Linked DNA regions of Tribolium castaneum. The protein of the gene in region 2 binds, or shares a complex with, the protein of the main gene of each other region. Links are inferred from orthologs where the notes say so. Each region holds a gene or a part of one and is shown on either strand. Other genes may lie near its edges. The genes, in order: Rab3GAP1 and Rab3-GAP.

Region 1 (3,916 bases), on a different chromosome or scaffold from region 2:
GAATTGAGTCTAAGTATTGAGTTTGTTATTGCAGATTTGCGCCAATCGAGACAGTCCTTGACCATGCAATCGGACAGACTGTCGACTCGTGGACCTAGTCACCACGCACCGACCCATTCCGTGGCGTCCTCCAGACGCTCCAGACCCAGATCCCGGTCCCGGGACTACAACAGGCCCAGTAGCCGGTACAGCACGGCTGGATCGACTCACACTTTAAACAATTATTGCGACAATTCCGACAACTGGACTGACCACGATATGGACATTTACATGGCGAGAAACCCGACCACTAGGAACGGTCTCGTACCGCTCTGATTTAGTTGCTCAATGTGTTCGCAAGGAATGATTCAAAAAGGCTGTTATTTGATTCAGACAATTCGCAACAGCACGACTGATAGTAGGATCAGTTAACAAGTAATTTTAAAGATAGTTACTAGAGAATAATGATAATGTATTTTTATATTTAAACGATATTTCTCTATTTATATGTTGACGGAAGTATGAGTTTATTTTGTATATAACTTTCGCAAAATTAAATAAATCTCTTAAGTGACTTACCCTGGAATTGGAATGCTCTTCTCCCATCTGTACCTCATTTCTTGGGCGAATTCGAACCACAGGTGCGCAAAGGCCCGAATGCCTCCAAGAGATTGCAGAGCGTGGCCCAAGACGATTGACAATCGCCAGATCAAAGAGTCAGAAGGGCATGTTTTGAAGCCTCGACATTCATAATCGAGATTAAAAACGTTCTCTTCCTGAAATATAAACCAAACACTCGAGTGAATTATTTACCAATCCCCAACTACCAGAACATACAGGTGTCAATAATTTTGAATGTCAATTAATTTTGTGACAGTCAGGAAATGTCTTTTAGGCATTATTTCGTAAATTCTTTCGTTTAATGATTGTCTCGCGTACGAAAGCATACGCTTCTTTAACTATATGGCCTATAATATGTAAAATACACATCTAATTTTGAAATTATTGCAAATAACACAAAAATTTACGTTACAATTTTACGAAATTCAATTGTTCCTGCGATAACCAGCTATTGTCAACTATGAGTGCATAATTTCCAAAAAATATTAAATTTTTTTTAGTTCTTTTATTACATGTTTTTTTCTGCTTACTACAGTAATTACTAATTAACGTATTTTTAGTACAATTCATTATAATATTGAAAATTACTGTAATAACATAAGAACACTTATAATTCATTTCAATTTTGTGGCTTATTTTTGACGAAATCTTTGAAAATAACTGCTAAACATTGTGAAAACGATGAATTTTAAAGAATAAACTAAATAATACGATATGCTTAATTGTGAATCGTTTTTTGCTAGCTACTCTATTATTTTAACAAGACAATAAAAAGTAGTTAAAAGTTTGCTGCAAAACAGATGCTTACAGTCTGCGGTGGATTGCTGGGGTTGCTATTGAACATTTCCTTATAGACATGTGGGGAGTCTTCCTCCGCGTCGGGAAATAAAAAGTACAGAATCGGCACTAAAATCTCTTCAGACAGAGGTGCCACGCCTCTCCTATTCTTCGTTAGCGAATTTCTTGCCGCTCTAGTGAGTAAACTTGAGATTGTCGGTACCTTGGGCTCTGTTAGTAAATCCAAGGGATTGCTGACATCAGCGGCTGCCGTTGCTGAAGACGCAAACTCGCCCAGGACGTCGTACGTCGAGGACGAGTTGTTTAATAAGTGTAAAAACTCCGTCAAACATTCCCCAAGCAAACAAAGCGGTTGTTCGGCGGTCGTGATCAACATTGTCCATTTTGCGGCCAACATCGGGTCAAAATCGCTGTAACTTTCGCTGTCTCTGACCGCACGGTGGTTTAGATGCGACCACGAAGTTTTAAGAATTATTGACTCGATTGGGTCGATTGTTACGCCAAAGGGGACACTGCATACGTCTGTGCTATCGAAGTGGTCACTGTCGGAGTTTATGTAATCCTGCTTCCACACGAAATTACCAAAGTCGGTTAAAGTGTAGCTTGATTGCAAGGAAACCATTATAGTTGTCATCGTCATGGGGGAGAGGATTTTTGATTTGAACATTTCCAAAAGACCTGACAAATACTGGTACAGTCGCGGGCTTGTTTTCAAATGTACCATCTCCAGATTGGTTCTTATGGATTCAGACTCGTAAACGCCCAAGTAGCAATTCTGCCACTTTTCTCTAATTTGCACAAAAATCGGGGTTTCACATTTCGAGTTAGCTGACGCAACGTAGACGGAACTTAGCAAGACTTTGATCCTACTTTCTGAATTTATTCCAAAATTTCCGGAGGGACTTAGGACTATGTACTCGTCAATGCCGTACCACTTGCTGAGACAGGAGTGCTCAACTGTGTTCTTAGAATTGTAGAGCTCAAAATCGTACATGGTGTCAAAAGGGTTCTTTTTCTTGGTTTCTTCATTGTCTTCGACTTTGGACAATGTGGATTGTTTTCTGAGAAAAGTTAACTTGAAATCGACGTCAACGAAAGACAGGTTTTCGCTCTTGATGCTCCAAATTTCGCCAAACAGTTCAGTATCTGCTGCCTCGTCCTTTAATTCTTCTGTCTTCCACTGGTTTATAATTTCTTCGATGCGCGCAATAAAAATTTCCCATTCGGAGGCTGTTGTAAAATCTTGGTGATAAAATTCCGTTTCGTCAATTTCCTCGTTCATTTTTCTAACATATTTTTTGCAAATTACTTAAAAACATAACCTAGAACGTAGACGTCAGTTTTTATTTGACATCAAATGGGCTGCAACGCCTGCAACCAACAATACCGATCCTTACAGAGTGCTTCATGTAAGTTTACTAATGAAAATAAAGTCTACATTATTTACGACATTTAATTAATCAGATCTCGTGTTAAAACATACAAAACTGAAGAGGAGAATATTATATAGTTTAGAAAAACAAAGTGATAAAAATAAATGATAGCGGTTTGTTCACTTCAGCTGGACCATAAACCACTGAAAAAATCCGATGATTGCGAACGAAAAAGATAAAGGGAACCATCCAGCTTTAATCCACGCCCAAAATGTTAATCTAGAAAAGCATTTAGTTTGTAGGCACAAGTCAATCTAGAATCGTACTCGTATGGTTCGTCCGATTCATAAAAGGCCTGAGTTTTAAGCAACCCTGACCGAATTATGGTCACATCGTGTAAGGGATGATTATCAGTATCAGTTTTCAAGTGTTCTATTCGGTGAACAACGTCCTGACCTTTCAGGACCTGTAAAACACCGTAAAATAATTTATTTTTTGACTGTAAAAACGGTTTAGACCTTTCCAAATGCAACATGTATTCCGTCCAACCACGGAGCAAACATTGTAGTTATAAAAAATTGACACCCGTTCGTATTGCGGCCTTAAAAAGTATTTTTAAGTGATAATTACACTTTTTGAGAGTTATGCCTACCACCATTTGCCATACTGACGATCCCTGGTCCATTATGTTTCACTGTGAAGTTCTCGTCTTTAAAAAATCTTCCGTAAATGCTAATTGAACCCGAACCGTTATTATAAATCAGATCACCACCTGAGTGAAATATTATTATTTACTATTACATTATTTATGATTATTAATAATAGACCTTGAATCATAAATCGTTGAACAACGGTGTGAAACTTTGTCCCCTCGTACGTTTTACCACCAATTCCGTTTGTTGCAATCTGTTTAAAGTTTAAAACAGTGTTGGGCACAATCTCCCCAAAGAGCCCAATCACAATTCTACCAAGATATTTACCATCAGATTCTATATCAAAGTAAACTCGATCAGTTACTTTCAATAAATCGCACTAAAACACAATTAATAATTCAAATCTGCAAGCAAACGTGTGTATGTGTTTAACATACCATGCAATATTGAAATAAAAGTAAAAAAGTGAAGATCTTTACCATGTTTGCCGAA
Region 2 (3,916 bases):
CAAGCCCATGGAATTGCTCAAATCGAACGCTGATAGGAACTCGGACGGTGACAACTCGGGCTGTTGGAACGCCACTCGCGCTCCGGGTTTGTGCTCCTTGAGGGTGCTCAAGTCTAGGAGTTTTTGCAAGTTGCCTAATTGCTTCGTCTCGAGGTTAATTCTCGTAGGGTTTTCCCCCGACTCTTGCACGCCTTGATGTTTCACAAACAGGTAGAAATTCAACAAAACACGAGTATTTTCCGCAACGATTCGTAAATTATCCGCTTCCGGCTCGGAACTATCTATGAACAATTGAACACATTTTAGGATAATCTCCGCGGGGAGATTGTTATCGCTTTGTAGCAGTTCTAAAGTTTGCAGTTTCAACTCAACGGTTTTGATTTCCGCGCTAATTTTCAACGTCTCGCTCTCGAGCGTCTCCCTATCACAATCACTATGTTTCAACAACTGTCTCAATTTCTTGAACAGGTGGATATCACGAGCCCTTTTATTATTTTTCTCACTTAAGGCGAAATGAAACGGGATTAAGACCTCCTTGATTTGGCCGTCGTTGTCAATTAGAACAGTGTCAAACTGGCAGACAAACCGCGACTTTGAGGTGATTGTGAACCCCATGAGACCGTAATTGTTGTAAACGAGACGGCTGAACTTCGAGGCCGAAAAGGTGCAAATTTTTTGGCCCTGTTGCACCGTGAAAATCTCAACGGTTCCTTTCTTTGACGAGTAAATCACGAGAAACAACGCGACTTTATTCCCGATCCTGTGCTTTGAGTGTCTTTCGTCCGGGACTTGGATGAAGGAGCACTGGGCCTCCCGGTAGCCTTTGAAAATTCTCAAAGTGACGCCTCGGAACGCATCCATCAAGATCACGCGTCCTAAGGCGTCCGACACCGCTGCTAATTTATGATCTGGGGATAGGACGATATTTGTGGAAATGCGGCGCAAATCGCAGAGGCCGAAACGGCAGCCCATGCTTTCTGCAGGCTGCATTGCCACCGTCATTTGCTTGTCCACTGAGGCCTTATTCCCCGTAAGCCAGCCCCTGGGGATTTTCCGCAGTTAAAGACCAATTAAGAAAGTAGGGCCGAGCCAAATCAAGATTTTCGGAACCAGAAATAAATAAGGAAACAACTAAATGTGAAACTATATTGCAAACATGCCATCATTTCCTTGTCACTGATAAAGCTGAAATAGATGTAATAAAAGAAACAAAAATAACATAATAAAAAACAGTAACTAAATATCGTCGGACAGTTACACTCGCAGTTCAATAAGAAATCTGAAATCAAAGAGAGTTATGAAAGATGCTCGTAAAAAACTAACACTTTTCAGGTCTGTTTTGTTAGACTTTTCAGTTGTCTCACGAAATTTTGCGTAGTCGGAAATGACTTTTTATTATATTCTGTAAAATTTGGTCTGTTTAGGCTTGGCTCGGCCCTGAATAAAGCTTGCAATAAAATAAACAATACTTAATTTATTTAAAAATACTGCCTAATAATAGTAGGGCTTACGGTAGCGCAGATTTGATTTTGGTGGCGACGGCTTTGGCCACGTCGCTGAAGACGGGCTGGGGGCACCCCTCCAGCGCGTAGTGGAACCCCACAAAAGGGCGCGAGCCCGCGGCCAAGACAAGGTTATTGTAGGGGGCTTGCGAGCGGTATTTGGTGTCAAAGCCGCCACAGGTTGAGGCTGTAAGTAGGTGGTCAAAAGTCCCGTGCAAATTAACCCCAACCACCGCGATGTCGTTGATGGTGGCCTGGTCCTGGAAGCCCCATTTTTTGGGGGCCAGATTGCCCTGAGTCAGCTCCAAACTATCGCCTTTGGCTTGGACTGGAAACTTTGTTTCACTTACGCAAAAATCGCAACTGATTGTACCTTTAGCCAAATCGCTGCGGCAAGATCTCAAAATCGGAAATAACTGGTTTCCTGAAATGACACAAACCGTGCTTTGGTATTGTACGTAAATCTCCTCAGGGTGCAGATCTGGGGCAATGTCAGGCCTTGGGTTGTGTTGGCTCCGACATTTAATACTCGTAATTACTTCATTGTGAAGCTGTTCCTCTAATAACAGCTCGCAGTTTTCGGTATAAAAGCGTACAAAACCTGACTCGAATCCTAGCAAAATGCAAGTCCAATCAGGGACAATCTGGAATGGGTTTTTTAGGGAAAAAAGTAAACTTGTGGGGGGAATTACATGTGAGCTTTTAGTCTGGCTTACAACAGGAACACAAATGACTGATTTAATGTTGTCACTTTCATGCACAGAGCCGGAATAGGTGATTTGAAATTGACTTAGTGAGCTACTAGTATCCCATTTTGAGGTCAAAATAACAAGTCTACGGTCATTTGCGAGTGCAATTACATCACCCGTTGGGGAAACCGACAATTCGCACAACTGCAACCAGCTATCAGAACCTGCAAGAGTTAATTAGGCTTTGTGTACGAAATTACAAAAAATTACCCCTTGAATCATCAGTTGGAAAAAGACACCTGCGTATCGCGGGAACGTCCGCTATGTTGGCCGTCACATTAATTTGGCAAGACATTTTCGACTAATTAGCAATTTTTTAAAAAACCACATTGAAAAACAATCAGATTTGACAAGTAATCGATGGGATGGCAAATGGTAACACGGTATTACAGGTTTCTGTTCCGCTTTTACAGTTTCCGATATTAAGTTTTCTAATTTATATCGCTTTTACGTGTTTTTTCAAGCACAACTTAATTACTTGATGCATTAGCAACTTCAAGTCAATTGATTTGTGCGTTTTTGTGACTAGTTAAGGCCACTTTTTGGCTAAAATCCATCGCGTAGTTCGTGCTATTGTCGCGATTAGCAGCACCAACCAACTAACCTAAAGCACAACTGTCAGTGGATTGTCAAGTGCTTTGTTGATATTTTTTGTAAATAAAGCGTTTAATCAACAAAGGGCATGTCCAACATGACTGCACCCAACAACAAGAAGGTACGCCGTGTCTACGAACGCGGTTTCCCTTCTGACCCCAGTTTTTCCAGCACGCCAGCTCAACCGAGAGCTCCTCCGGCTCAAGCGACTCTTCCAGCTCCAGCTCTTCGTCAAGCGGTTCCGACTCGTCCTCATCCAGCGATAGCGAATCGTCCAGTTCGCAAGAATCCACCAAACAACAATCCGGATCCGAATTAAAAAAGAGCGCAACGATCCAGAAAAACCCGCGCAAAAGCTCAGACAGCCTCAAAACCGGCACTTCCAAGTCATCAGACCCCAAACCGGCCCCTAAACCCAAAACCCAAGCCCCCAAAACCGGGAAACAACCGGCCAAAACCACCATCTACTCGTCGGAAGATGACGACAAACCTAAACCTAGCGCGAAGCGCAAAAGCACAGCAAAGCCTAAAAGCAGCGCCACGATCACGCCTAAAGCCGCCACTAAGCCGCTGCCTAAACCGGCCGTTAAAAACGTGCAAAATAAGGGCGCCAAAGGGAAGGAACCACCGAAGAAGGTGGTCGGGAAAAACGCAAAGAATGATTCCGCCAACAAGAAAAAAAGCATTTTCTCGCCGGAAAATAGCTCCGAATCCGACGATGCGGCCAAGAAGAGTCGGCCGAAGCCCGCGCCACCTAAACCCCGGCCCAAGGCTGCGGCCAGAACGGTCGAGAAGCCCAAACCTGTGGAGAAGAAGCCCGAAAAACCGGCGCCTAAATCTAAGGCCGTGGTCAGTTCTGCGAGTTCGGCTACGTCCTCAACCGCCTCTAGTAGCAGCTCTGATAGTGAGAGTAGCGCCGAATCGTCCAGCACTACTCGGAAAATGAGCGATAAAAAAATTACGAAAAAAACTTTGGTTGCTGCCAAAGATCGAAATGTGTCTGATTCGGAGACGGAAAGCACGAAACAAGTCACTCGGAAGTTGACTCGCTCCGCTAGCACCCGAAAATCC

Evidence for each region.
Region 1: the proteins of Rab3-GAP (region 2) and Rab3GAP1 are in contact, whole or in part, in a cryo-EM structure (PDB 8VYB), measured with the Homo sapiens proteins. The link is inferred for Tribolium castaneum from reciprocal best matches to the Homo sapiens genes RAB3GAP2 and RAB3GAP1. Residues at the interface, in NP_036546.2 of Homo sapiens: Arg197, His198, Pro199, Gly200, Ser276, Pro277, Phe278, Asp279, Met281, Lys282, Ser285, Asn286, Ile287, Gly289, Phe290, Asn291, Ala292, Ile294, Arg377, Phe378, Gly379, Leu380, Pro381, Asp382, Arg385, Cys395, Thr397, Leu398, Arg407, Arg415; in NP_036365.1 of Homo sapiens: Thr19, Ser21, Trp23, Glu24, Glu142, Ser143, Asn146, Leu147, Leu149, Ser150, Ser153, Ile154, Ile169, His170, Trp173, Arg174, Met176, Arg187, Asp189, Glu191, Met192, Val193, His194, Leu195, Arg196, Pro199, Tyr202, Ile211, Ser214, Lys215.

The regions. Positions count from the first base shown.
Region 1 is NC_087398.1:6,844,952-6,848,867, reverse strand, and holds the start of Rab3GAP1 (rab3 GTPase-activating protein catalytic subunit), read right to left. Parts: upstream 2,766-3,916; 5' UTR 2,681-2,765; coding exon 1,409-2,680; intron 756-1,408; coding exon 559-755; intron 555-558; exon of another isoform or gene 316-554; coding exon of another isoform or gene 35-315; intron 1-34. Other genes in the region: haf (leucine-rich repeat and fibronectin type-III domain-containing protein 5), read left to right, coding at 35-315; uncharacterized protein LOC103313103, read right to left, coding at 2,951-3,050, 3,098-3,237, 3,290-3,372, 3,424-3,543, 3,599-3,803, 3,862-3,916. UniProt on the Homo sapiens protein: Catalytic subunit of the Rab3 GTPase-activating (Rab3GAP) complex composed of RAB3GAP1 and RAB3GAP2, which has GTPase-activating protein (GAP) activity towards various Rab3 subfamily members (RAB3A, RAB3B, RAB3C and RAB3D), RAB5A and RAB43, and guanine nucleotide exchange factor (GEF) activity towards RAB18.
Region 2 is NC_087395.1:21,701,119-21,705,034, reverse strand, and holds the start of Rab3-GAP (rab3 GTPase-activating protein non-catalytic subunit), read right to left. Parts: upstream 2,649-3,916; 5' UTR 2,547-2,648; coding exon 2,462-2,546; intron 2,416-2,461; coding exon 2,195-2,415; intron 2,147-2,194; coding exon 1,876-2,146; intron 1,831-1,875; coding exon 1,512-1,830; intron 1,043-1,511; coding exon 1-1,042. Other genes in the region: chm (histone acetyltransferase KAT7), read left to right, coding at 2,934-2,966, 3,017-3,916. UniProt on the Homo sapiens protein: Regulatory subunit of the Rab3 GTPase-activating (Rab3GAP) complex composed of RAB3GAP1 and RAB3GAP2, which has GTPase-activating protein (GAP) activity towards various Rab3 subfamily members (RAB3A, RAB3B, RAB3C and RAB3D), RAB5A and RAB43, and guanine nucleotide exchange factor (GEF) activity towards RAB18.